2 linked regions of the Caenorhabditis elegans genome follow. The protein of the gene in region 2 purifies or fractionates together with the protein of the main gene of each other region. This does not show direct contact. Each region holds a gene or a part of one and is shown on either strand. Other genes may lie near its edges.

The links.
Region 1: the proteins of madd-4 (region 2) and nrx-1 purify together in Caenorhabditis elegans (co-purification; one study listed by BioGRID). This does not show direct contact.

What each region holds. Positions count from the first base shown.
Region 1 is NC_003283.11:10,822,145-10,828,023, reverse strand, and holds the start of nrx-1 (Neurexin-3-beta), read right to left. Parts: upstream 3,001-5,879; coding exon 2,882-3,000; intron 2,831-2,881; coding exon 2,675-2,830; intron 2,337-2,674; coding exon 2,273-2,336; intron 2,180-2,272; exon of another isoform or gene 1,963-2,179; intron 1,909-1,962; coding exon 1,741-1,908; intron 1,698-1,740; coding exon 1,598-1,697; intron 1,152-1,597; coding exon 1,078-1,151; intron 1,012-1,077; coding exon 897-1,011; intron 769-896; coding exon 608-768; intron 281-607; coding exon 122-280; intron 1-121.
Region 2 is NC_003279.8:8,938,158-8,945,839, forward strand, and holds the start of madd-4 (Protein madd-4), read right to left. Parts: upstream 4,131-7,682; 5' UTR 4,048-4,130; coding exon 3,934-4,047; intron 3,892-3,933; coding exon 3,730-3,891; intron 3,194-3,729; coding exon 3,077-3,193; intron 3,031-3,076; coding exon 2,919-3,030; intron 2,869-2,918; coding exon 2,667-2,868; intron 2,411-2,666; coding exon 2,405-2,410; intron 2,121-2,404; coding exon 1,982-2,120; intron 1,512-1,981; coding exon 1,312-1,511; intron 1-1,311. Other genes in the region: fip-6 (Fungus-Induced Protein), read right to left, coding at 7,508-7,680. UniProt on the Caenorhabditis elegans protein: Component of an extracellular matrix cue that is involved in the guidance of dorsoventral midline migrations and in the specification of postsynaptic domains at neuromuscular junctions (NMJs).

The DNA.
Region 1 (5,879 bases), on a different chromosome or scaffold from region 2:
TGAATAATTGATTTTGGGAAGAAAATAAAAATTTTGATCTGGGGTTAGAGTGATTTTGGGCCGTGAACCGTTTGATTAGAAACCTTAAGATTAGAAGGGACTAATGAAATGTTTAGTTTACCATTTGAAGAGATCTCTCCAAAATTATTGTATGCCAGGAATCATCATCATATCTTTGAGATGGAAATGAATTGAACATTCGAATGATTCGAGCATCGGAGCCGTCAAATTTCGAAGAAGCGATTATAGCCCCATCTTGGAGCATTACGTGAAGATAACTCTGTAAATTCCTTCCAACTTTAATATTAAAAGAGAATAGAAAACTTTAATAAATCATTACTACGTTAGGAGAAAAAACGGTTGATTTGTTTTCACAACTTGTAGGCTTATATCTCTCTCTAGGCTTCTCTCGTTGAGCATGGTATTTCAAAATTGTACAAATAAAAGAAGCTCGGGTTAAAAATTAAAAAAAACGAAAAACTATTTTCTGAAGGAATGGGCAATATTTAATTTTAAGAACTCACTGTTATACTACTTTTATACTTCTAATTTTATTCTTCCAACGTTAAAAAAAAAAATCAAACTGTAATCAATTCAAATTAAATACCTTTTCATCTCCCGCATAAAACAACATAGATGTCCCATGTACAGTTTTGAATGTCAATGTTAGATTTTCTTTCTTGGCTCTCACTGCAGCTGATATATTCAATGAAACATCATATCCGACCCATTCATCACCTCCAAATGTTAATTCTCCGTCGTTTTTTTCTGAAACCAAAAAGAATTTTCCCACAATCTTTGGTTTCTTTGCTTCCGCTTGTGTTCTCTTTCAATTTCGTCACTATCCCGCGCAAAAATGAAAAAAATCTTATGGGAATGAATGAAAAAAGCATTACCAATTTCACAATTCCTTCCGTCATGATCAGAGAACTGGCAGTCACAATGTGGTCCATCATTTGATGAATAACATTCACCATCGTTGAGGCACACAAATTGTTCGCGTGAAGACATCTGGAGAATATAATTTTCAGAAAAATTTTATTTTTTCTTCTGAAAATATTTATGAAGAAAACAAACCGATTTTGACTTGCAATGGTCGTCTTCGTTGGTGCGTGTTCCAACTGATTCCAGAAGCTGAGGAGATGTGACACCTGAATAACAATTTATTATTTTTCCTTCCATTTTTCCTTTGATTTTCATACAGATGTATCACAACGAAGCTACAAATAGTGTGACTGAGAGATTTGGAACAGTAAACCAATTTTCATACGGTATTTTATCATTAAGTTTTGGATACTCTTTACATACACTATAAGGTACATACTTTTTAAGATTGATTACGTTTTCAGTGCAACCCATAAGATGATCAGAACACACTTCTAAATCCAAGAGGTCAGTGATTAAAGTGAATCAATACACACAAGTGAATCGGAATTACACTTAATACATATTCATATCCATAAAAATAACTAATTAGAAATGTAATTGGTAAAATTTCTTACTCTTTAACGACTTCATTATCTCGTTCAACTTGGTCAAGTCTTAAGACAGGAAGTGCTGAAAGTGTGGGACCGATGATCTTGATTCATTTACATACCTTGGGGATACTGGCGGTACATCAAATTGCGCACGTTGACTGCCAAATGACGAGCGTATCGACGAAGAGGAGAACTCATTACGGGAAGCATGTGCATATTCTGAATACAATCATTTCATACAGTGTTACATAATTAATCTTACTGGTGGTAATCCTCCAATGAAAACATCTGAATTTTTGAGAATGTTTCCAAATACAAAGCTTCGTTGATTCAGAATCTTGAAAACAAGAGTATAATCCAACTCCAGTTTCACATTTTCCCATGATTGAAATATCGTCAACGTATGCCATTTGTCGTCATCTATTCTAACCTGGAAAAAACCTTGATTTCACAAATATAAATTCCCCTGAAAGATTTTATATAACATTGCAACACCCTATTTTCTTCATCTGACACTTGTTCCTTTGTGACTTAAACCCTTGGGACGTGCTCTCGGAGCTCACTTAAAGTATAAAATATATGGGTTTGCAGTGGATAACGGCGGCATTGCTCGACTGCTCAAAGAACACCAAAATGTGTCGGAGAAAACTTGATTCGCAGATTTATGACCGTTGGGTATAAATAGACAAAGAAAAAGTAAAAAGGAAGTCGGAAATGATAGACTCGATTAGTATGTGGTCACAAGATGTACAATGTAGATTCATGATAAATTGAGATTTCACAAGAAAACTTACTTCTTCTATTCGAATTGTATTCACTGGTCGTCGTTGGCCAAATTCATTTGAATTGTCACCTAACCTAGAAATTAAAGAAAATTATATCAAGAAAATCTGAAATAGAATTCATGAGCCTGGCGAGCCCAACTGAACGTGTGACCGGTTTTAAGGATTCCGGACGATACGGAGTGCAGGTTTATTCGTGTTAAATGTTTTTTTTTTTAATTATTTTTTGAAAGTCAAAATCTGAAGATTTTGAAACACAAAATGAATACTCGAAAAATTGGGCGTCTGACTTGCTGTTCCAACATGAGGAGAAAAAGTACTAGGATTTTTATGGCAGTTTTATTAAAAAAATTTTCAAGCAGCTGTCAAGATTTTTTCATTACAATTTCTGGATTTCTTGGACAAAAAACTCACCTAAAGTCTAACTGAATATGACCTTCTACAATTGTCAGTGAATAAAAATTTCCATGAGTTCCACCATCGTCTGTGTACAGTAACATTCCATCGGATTGTCGTGTTTTCAATTCCATTGATAGCGAATTTTCGAATGAGTGCGCCCATTTTGGATACCTAAAAAATGGTCTATGAAGTTTCGCCGTATTCAAAAAAAAGTGAGCCCACCTCGCATAAGAGTCTGGAGCTCCAGTGAGAATAATTGAATCTACTACGCTGAACAATGAAACCGTAAAAACAAGCCATATCGTTAAGTATTGTCCAGTATCATCAAACTTTTGTCTCATTTTTGTCGCATCTGAAAGGATAGGAAGTTTGGTAGAGAAGAGCATGCACCAAAAGGCATACACATTGGGAGTTCCATTAAAAAGCGGAAAAAGAAAAAGGGAGGGGTAGGGGCACAAATCGGAAGATAAAGCCAGCATGGCAGGCGGCAAAGAAGAGTCATGAATAATTAATATTTACAATTGGAATATTTGAAACTACTTAGACTGAATTGGAATTCATAGATTTTTAGGTTTTTTGCAGGGGAAGAAAATCTCTGAAATCCTGTAAACCCTACTAGAAGAACATCGGAAAAAGTAGAGAAGAGTCGGGATTTAGAGAAAATGAAAAAAGGGAAAAAGGAGTGGGAGGCGCCAATTTGAATGGACGTTTTGGGAATGGGGATAGAGAAAAAGAGGACAGGTACATACTTTTTCAATTGCTCTTTTTTTGGATGAAACGGAAAGAATCGGGAAAGAACTACTTGGTCAAGTTGGAAAAACTAACTCTGATATGTGAAGTGTTTTTGATGTTCATAAATTGGAAAATTACAGTTTTCCTAATTGTTATGTGATGGTTTAAACTTTCTCAGACTATTAGTTCAAATGAATGTTTCTCAAGATGAAGAAAAAAGTTATTTAATTTGTTGAATGTTCTATTAAGAAATTAAAACAATGTATCATAGGAACTTGGGAAAAAGGGTGAGTGTGAACACGAGACAGGAAAGACAGGCATGTTTGTGCTTACAAGGAAGATTTTTAATGGAAGTTGTTTTTATGAACCTTCATAAAATAAATAATTCAAATATTAAAACTAGAGTTATCCTACTTTTTTGTCTGCATTTCAACTTTCCTCTCATTTTTATTCGTATTTTCTCATATTTTCCAACCAGGTATCAAATTCCAAAATGAAGCAAGGCACTACCGATCGGTAGTGGTTTTGTATAACAATTGCAATTGATCCCTCTATAAATAGTAAAATGCTTTCCTTGTCGTGGCAGTGACCTATCATTCATTCATTCACATTTTGAAACAAAGTGAACTTCCTTTTCAAAAAAAGGATGGATGATATTGAGACACGGAATTTTTTCAGAAAGGAAGGATAGTGGAAAAAAGAAAACAATTTGATGTAGACAAAGAAAAGAGAAAATAAAAATAATAATGAGCTATTTTAGCTGAAGTTGAAGCAAGTGAAAACAATTTTTTTTTTCGAGCAACCTGAGAATTTCGAAGGAAATATTTGGTTTGGTGAAAGCAACAAAAAAGCAAAGAAACAGAAAACAAAAGCAGTGTTTTGAAAAAATTAAAGACCAGACTGGTTCAGTAGGTCACACCAGGGAGGTGTTGCAACTAAAAAGTTGTCATAAATTATCTTTGAGACGTTTTCTTATTTTCTGCAGTCTGCAAAATTTTTCAGAGGTAGAGCTGCTTTTTGAACCACTTCTTGTCAAAATGTTTGCAGGAAATTCCCATAAGGCTATCTCTCAACTTTGTATTATGATCACAAACTAAACGATATCGAGACCATGAAAACTTATAAAGAAGTTACTCGATTGGATGAGTGAGAATCTCTAGTAGTGTATTTATGGGAAAACTACAAGTCCATCAAATAAAGAGGCAGAGCTTCCTCATCATTTGCATGAAATGAATGAGGTATGAGAAGAAGACTCTTTGGGTGCTCTTCTCTTATAATTATAATAACTTTTGATGACTTGAATTCTGGAAAACGTTTCCAGCTTTGCTACTTTTTTCTCGTAATCTTGGATACCTCTGAGATTATTACGAAATTCTTTGAGAATAATTAGCTTCGTTTTAGTCTTCAATTGAGGAAGATGGAAACAGCTACGTAGGTTTCTCAAGGCAAAATATCTCATTTTTTCTCTGAGCTTTCAATATTTTTTGTTTATGTTTACTCGTGATAAAGATGCCAGGAAAACATGATTTTTATTTGGAAAGCGACTGTTCTCTCTCTCAATATATTTCAATATTTCAGACTCCTAGAAATCAGATGTTTAAAAATGTCGAAGAAAAGACTGAGGGAATTAAATTTGAACGCAAAAAGACCTCTGTGGTTTCTTCTTTTTTGATTCCATTTTAATCGCATTTTCCGGATGGTTTCTCTGTTTCAGATGTAGAAAACGAAATAAAAAAGGACACACACATATAGGAACAGAAGAGATAAGATTCAAAGAATTGAATGGAATTTAATTTAGCGATGATGTCCCGAGATTTGTCAGCAATTCATGCGTGCTTTGTTATGCTGCTGCTCCAGTAGTAGAGAAACGATGGGCTTCTGTGCAGCAGCTCACACACATACACATAGACGAACTTTTAATCGTTTTGCCGAATCTCTTTTTCGGAACGAATTAGTGAAGATACTCTATAGCTTTAGACGATGAAGTCAACGAGTTTTCTTTCTTCACACATTGACGTGGGTTATTTAGTTTTTAGGCACCTCCCTGTCTAGGGAGAAATAGTTAGAGACTTAGGCATTAAAGGGGTTTTTAGTTTGAGAATTTCAGTGCTTAAAGTTTAATTCTACAAACTTTGCGTATTGTGACTTACAAGTTCCGCTAAATTTAAATCTATTATTTTAATTAAGAACTATAGGACATTGGAATTTTCATTGATACAGTTAATTTCAGGTTTCAAAAACAAAAACGAAAATTGAAAAAGTCTTTCATTTTCCGGCGACTAGGGAAAACAAAATTTTAGAAAGACGCACTTCAAAATTTAAAATGAAAAGAGAAACAGGAAGGAACACAAAACTTTGTTGCAAAAATTATGTTAGAAAGAAAAACGAAATAAAGGAAAATAATTAGAAATAGAGGAAACGAGAATTTATGGAAATGCCTATGTGCACGTTTGTATTTTGAGAGTTAGTGTTTCTTATAGAGATGGCA
Region 2 (7,682 bases):
CAATATTGGTGAGTTTTTCAATAATTGAGGGCGAAAGATCTTAATTGTTTGAAATATCAAACGATTGAACGAGTTTGTCTAGCTTTTAAACCCGCGGGAGACGATAACTCCGTGCCTCACAGGGTCATTGATACATATGTAGACCTTTCAAATTATTTAGGTGGTCTGGACTTGTTTATAATTTTTTTTTCTAGTTTTGAGAATTTGAGAAGAAGTAATTCAGTGAAAATTCAGTGCAGTTATTCCGCCCATGCGTAAAAAAATATGCACAAAATCCCATAGGATATTTCAGAACAAATTGCCAATGGGTTTATTTTGCTCCTAAAAACGATAGACCATGTTGTGAAAAACAAACGATCTAATGAAAAAACTCATGGCGTCTCAGGTATCGTCGCCAAATAGAAATGGGACCACCAAGACATGGAATTTTCTGACCTCACAAAAGAAAACACGCGTTTCAGTTATCACTGTACCTTTTCTCATATACAGTAAACCTCGTCACTTCCTGTCGTAGTTCTTTCTCATCCAAAAAACTGGCAACATTCTCACATAAACTCCCATGGGTAACTTCAATAATCCCTGCTATTCGACCATTTTTTACCCCCTCTATTCCACTCCGCTCATCCTTTTACAGCTTAAAGTTAAGACGAGTAGTAATTTTTCTTACTCTTCCCTATTTTCATCCCTTTTTTCAAATCTTTCTCACTCTTGGAATCAAGTACAAGTACAACTACGAAAATGGAGTCATCTCTACAAAGAAAGAGTTCTTTAATACACTGAATTTGTAATGGAAGACAAAAAGGAAGAAGTTTAGTAGGAATGTGATTGATGAGAAATTCCGAAAAAGAGTACAAATGGACAAAATGTGTATATTGAAGAAACTGTTAGTTGTGTGTAGAAGGGGGATTGCTCAACTTACTCGTTTTACATCGAACTTTTAGACATGAATAGTAAAGCTTCGATTAAAAAATAATTATGTAGATCTGAAATTCTTTTCTAGACTATACAATTTTTAAATAATATAACAGCAAGTATTTTCATTTAGCAAGTACCAAACGAAACTTGTTGAGTTTGTCGAGCTTGTAAAATTTGCTTCGTACACTAATTTTGGCAAGCTGTTAACTTTTATGTAGGCTAGAATTAAATGAAAAATACCATTTTTTGGAAGTTGAATTTTTTTTTAATGTAAAAACCAGCAATTTCAGTTTCAAAAAAGTTGTTGCAAATCTCATCATTTTACGCTCACACATTCTACCTAATGATTTGGCGTAAAGTGCCTTTACCAATTCTCCACTTCTTAATGGAGCTCACCTATTTGTTGCAATACTACATGGTATTCCAGCATAACATGTTGTCTCTTGTCTTGGACGTCCTCCTTCATCACAATCTGAACCTCCAACACATGCCACGTGACGTCGTCGCACTCCTTGGCCACACGAAGCTGTACATTTTGACCATTTTCCGGCTTCCCATCGTCCACATGATGTTGATACACAGTTTTCTTCGGCTGCCTGAAAGTTATCATTCAGGAAAGTTTTAGAGAGATTTCTAAATTATTTCTGAAACATGCAAGTAAACAAAAAAATTTAGGAAAGTTGTTTTTTAAAAAGGCAGATGATAACGCTAAGAAATCTGGAAAATTTGCGTCTGTAACAGAAAAACAATATATACAATTATAGTGGCAAGGCTTTTAAACGTTTTCGCCCAAACAATATATTTTTTGGAAAAATACTTGAAGTCAAATCTGGAGTAGCGTATTCTTTATACTGACCCTATAGGCCGAAATTCAAAAAAAGACCTCTTAAAAAAACAATTTTTCAACAAATTTTTTAACCGCCATAAAAATGTTTCTGAAAATTTCAAGAGGTGTTATTATTAAAATTGGTGTTTTGAAAACATTTTGAGAATGCTCCGCTCAAGCATTAATAAGAAGATCTCTACTTAACATCTGAAACAATGGCTAAAACTTTTAACAACTAACCGGTCTTGTTCCATTTTCACAGAAGGTATCAGGAACATGTACTGTAACATTATGCGCCGTCTGTACACAGTAAACCTCTCTTTTTCTTGTCCCTTCACCACAATGTGGTACACATTCTGTCCAGTCTGCAGCCATCCATCTGCAAGTTTTCAGTTCATTACTTCAAAATCCATAAATATTCAAATTGACACACAGCGTCTAATAAAGCAAAGAGATGTCAGTCTCAAATTATCTAAAAATTGAACTTAGCCATTCCTAAACGATAAAAATATTTATCGAGAAAATTCAAATAGAAGTGAATGTGATATAGAAAACAAAAATAAATTGAGAAAAAATAAAAAATCAATAATCCCCGTCATTCTTATGGGGCACACTCTTTCAGCTTACCACACCCTGATTTGGGATCTTTTTGGAAAAACTCACCGGCATCTGAAATTATTAATTAAAATCAAATTAGCAAATCTAATTTAGGAAACGATATAAAGAATATTTCTTGAAAAAGGAAATTGGATATTCAAAAACAATTCAAATTATTAAAATACAAAAGTTAACAGAAATTTGAGTTCGGTTTTTTGTTTTTTAGAGGTTTGTGCTTTTCAAAAAGTACAGACAACAACTAGAATTTAAAACTATTTACGAAACTATGCACTTAAGCATAAATATAAAATAATTTAAAATTTCAAACCTTGAAGGGCAAATCAGCATTGGGCATGGTCTTGCTTCAACTTTCGGTCTCAATTTATCAGCACATAACTTTTCAGGAACAACTCTTCCAGTTATTGCATTTACACATACAACAATTGGTTGACTAGTTGAAGCAATTGAACGTCCAGCACCTGACCAGTCAACTATATCATCACAATTTGAAGCGCATGCAGTGTATTCTTCTGGAAATCTTAGTGTTTTGAGTGATTGTTGTAAATCTTTAAAATTCTACCGGAAACTTTCCAAATGAACTTTCCATTGTCACACGTATCCCCTCGTCCTCCACATACTCCACAGGCATCAAATCGAAAAGATGAACTAATCAATCCGTCACAGCCAACGATCTGAAATTTGGGGAAAATAATAATTAAAACAATTATATTTAGTAACCTGACAAGACCCTTTACTGCAGACAGCTCTACTTGTTGCGGCCTGACACGGCGTTCCATCATCAACTCTCCAAAGAAAATTTGCACCAGTTAAGCGTGATCGGCATACCACTTCGCACTGAATTTTAGTTCTTATTTTTTCACTTATAGGTGCTTGAAAACTGTTCATGTATGATTCACAAACTTTTCAAAAAAAATTCAAACTTTTCAACAATTATTTGGCTTTTTTAAATCTACACTTGAAAACTCAGTTTTCCGCATTTTTTAAAGATTGTTTATATTTAAACACTCTAGGGATTCAAACCTGCAGTACAACTCGAAATTTCTCAGGAAGTCCACATTTTTGGAAAATTTGGAAATTTACCACAACTTTTACAAAATTGTTAGAATGTTATGTATCATGATATGTGGATATTATTGAAATTTAGACCGTTAAAAAATTAATAGTTTGAGAATCCGAAATTTTTTTTTCGACATTCATAAAAAATTGAGAAATCGAAAAAACAACACTCTTGCTGCAGGGCTGAACGTTTTTGCGTTTTTGGTTATTCGGTACATTTGTCCAAATTATTTTTTGACTACTACTACAAAAACTTTTTTTAAATAAATGTTTCTTCACAAGAAAACATTATTTTGAAAGTGGTTCATACATACCTGTCCCCTGGAGACTATTTCCTCTCCTCCACATATTGTATCCCTAGCTAATCTAGATTTTGACTCGCAAGTTTTTTGAGCACAAACTTTGAATCGAACTGATTCTCCTGAGCATTTTGATGTCAAACAACGTCGTAACTGACGAGAAACTCCGCCACCACACTGAAAATTTTTTTTTTCTGAATAGCTTCTCTGTCCGATTACCGTTTTAGTACACGAACTCCAAGGACTCCATGCCGCCCAACTAAGAGCATCCACGTGGAAACTCGCAATAAGCAAGTAAAATAGTAAAAATACTACGGTATATGAACACTTCATTTTCATTCATTTTACACTTTGTTTCATTGTTTTTTTTCCTTTTTTTGTGTAAAAATTAACAAACGCTTGAATTGTCCTTGGCTGCAAATATTTTTTTGGAAGTTTTATAAAAAGAAAATATACAGATGCCGGAACTTGAAGAAAATATTCGAATTTCAAATTACCAGTTAGAAGAGAAAGAATGAAATAGAGATAAATGTATTAAAAGATTTATGTGGGCTTCAACTATTTTTTGGATAGGAAAATTAGAGGGTTCGAAGAAATAGTTATAGAAGTTTTCCACTTTACAATAGCACAGGTGATTCGCCGTTTGTAAAATACTTATGACCTCCAATATTTTAGATGCATTTTGCAAATCGCGAATTTCGCCGCGGGACCATTAACATTTTAGCAGTATTTTGGTAATCGCGACTCTCGGTGATCGCAATTTGCACAATATTTGCGATTTTGCAAGTATTTTACTATATCGCTGGTGCCTCTTGTAGAAGCGCGCGAACTACATTTCATAAGTATTTTAAAACCCGCGAATCACCTGTGAGTTGGTTGAGCCAAATTATAGCACTTTACCTCTGATTAAAACAAAAAGAAATTTAATTAAAAAGAGTAGCTGTAGAGAAAAAAAACATTAACGTAAACTAAGTAAGTGGGCCAACAATCAACAAAAAAAAGCAAGAAATTACAATAAATATTTGGCAAAATTAGTTTGAATTCGTAGAAATTTACTCTCCTATGAACATGTGGTTTCTCAACCCATTCCAACATTTTTTAGTAATTATTTCTAAAATTAGCAATTCATTGATAAGTCGTGTTGAGTAACTCCTAGACAAAAGTTTTTGATAGGAAGCAACAAGGCGAATGGCGAGCCGGGATAGAGGTAGTAACAAAATTTATTCAATGTACTCAAAATTATCTGAAAGAAACAGGCTAAATTTACCTGGAATATATGCCAAATTTTCCAGTTTAGTAATTTATTACTCGTTTTTTTTTTTGGAATTTAGGTACCATCTTAGTCGATGGAACACAAGTTTTGTAATTTTTTTTTAATTTTGAACAACAACTACGTTATTGAAAGCTTTTTGAGGAGTCTCTTGGAGAAGTTTTATTCGTTTAGACCATGATGCAAATCAATTCAAAAACTTTTTAATCAATTCAAAAACTCCACTACTTATTATATGAAAGTTACAAATATTGCAATGGTTAAACTTCGTTGCTCAGGAGAGAAGAAAAGCCAAAAGAAGAGGAGAATGTAGGAAAAAATGTGGAAATCAAATCAAAAAGTGTCAAGGAACACGTTGGTATTCTGACTTCCAATAGACTCGGGCAGCACACTTGGGAAGGAAAAATGAAAATGGAAGAGAAAAAATATTCATGATACCAGGTTGTAATAAAAACTCCAAAAACGATAACTACAAACTTCAAAAAAAGAGCTGAGCAAAGGTTAACCAGTGTCTGACAAAACCCATTCTTTCAACCAGGCATAGGTATTCAATAGTAAACGTTTTTTTTTCTTTTTTTTTGAAAAATGCAGTAAATCGGAAAACTAGGGGCAATTCAAAATGGGAAATCGACGACCAATGGGATTTATGGAATGAGGACATGACTGGAAAAACAAAGAAGAACTGCAAAAAAAAAGAATTGAACTAATTTTTTGGAAAACACAACTATTATAACTGAAATATTTTTGCAGAAGACTATTGAACAAACTTGAAAAGTAAAAAAAAAGTGAGAATGAAAAATTGTAAAAAGAAAAAAGAAATAAAGACAATAGAGTCACCCCTACTTCTTTTCAGGTAACATATTCTGCGACTACAACTCATTTTCTTTTAAAATTTGAAGGGGAAGGTTTTTGAATTCTGACGTCTGAATTTTGGGTTTTTATGAAAACATAAACACATTTCTCACTAAACTCTGGTAAATCTATTCTGATCGACGCCGAAGTCAGGCTAATCGACGCAGGTACCCCCAGCTTCGGCATACGTCGACGTCGATTAGAAAATTGTCTAAAATCGACCTGGATCATAAAATACTTTAAATTTCATAAACATATCTGGATAAATTTTAAAAAACAAGGAAACGGGAAACAAACAACTTTTGAACAACATTGTGCCCCAAAAATGGTTCTAAATTTGGAAGTTAGTAAACTAACTTTGGCGGATTTTGACAGATAGTGCGAGTCTGATATGAAAATTACAGTAAGTAAACTTCATTTAAAAAAGTTATGAAAAATTTGTTTATTAAAATATAGAAGCTGAAAAATTTTGAAAAAATTTTGTTGAAATACTGCCAAACAGAGGGAACCTAGTTAAGGTCTTCCTGTTTGTAGGGGCGCTGACTTTTTCTTCTAAATCGGGTTACAGCTCCTCCCTCCTACAAAACAAAGAAGGGAGCTTTGTTTAAAAAATGCAAAAAATCTTGGTTTTTCAACGGGAAATGCCTAGACGAGGAACACAAGACCAAGTTATGGGAGTTCCAGTCAGTGGGATGGCTAAAAACTGGCTCGGGAATCCAACGAAAAGAAAAGTTATGAATATATAGACTCTGTGTTAGTTTTAGGGAAGAAGGAGGTCCCAGGAGAACCAAAGGACTCCGGAAGACAAAGAAAAAAGAGGAGAAGTTGGCGGGGTGGCGGCTCCAAGAGCAGGAGCATGAAGAAGAGGATGTGCTGGTTCTGCTCCTCGAGCATTCTTATAAATGTTGTTCCTCACTCCTTTCCTTTGGTCCCCTCACCCATTACACAAAAAAAGATGAAGAAGCAAAAAGACACTCTCTTTTCGGCAAAAAGGCGCCACTTTTTTTTCTACACTGATTTTGACGCCTTGTTTTATTTTTCTATTCTACTTTTTTCTTGCCGTGCATTTTCAAAGGGACCGGAAAACATTATTTTTTATGGATCTTTTTGGAAGGACAACCGAGATTAGTTTTATGGGTACAGGAGGTAAAGGATTATCAGTATAGGACAGACAAACACTTGGTCCACAACGATTTATTGAAGAAGAATTGGCTAAAACGAGAAATAAAGCACGGACAATTTTTACGTTTTTCAGGTCTGGAAAGTTTTCTAGCGTACGGCATGTTTTAGCCCATTTTCAGACAGGTACAGTAGACAGAACAATTTATAACGATAGTGAAGAAATTTCTTTCCAATGATAAACACCAAAGAAAGAAACGGATAAAAAGACAGGAAGTTAGAGGGAAAGAAAAATATTGAATTTTCTGGTAAAATACAACTGATTGTTTTTATACATTGTGAACAATTCTACTTACATGTTATTGATAGTCTTGTGTTTATGAAAAAAACAAAAACCTCATTTTTGCAACCCATTTCAATATATTTAAAACATTTTATTTAATTGAAAAAAAATTAAAATTCCAGAGTTAAACCATTAGTCTCTTTTATTAAAATAGAGAGAATACAGTAATAAAATCCAGTCGTCATGTCATTCCTAATTGCATCCATTGTCTATTTCTTTCTTCCCCAATAGTTTTGCCTATAATATCCATTGTATCCATTATATCCTCCACCACCATAATATGGTTGATATCCACCATAACCTCCACCATAATATCCTCCATGATGATGATGATGATGCTCGTGTGAATGAGAATATGAATGTGAATGATGTGCGTATGTTACT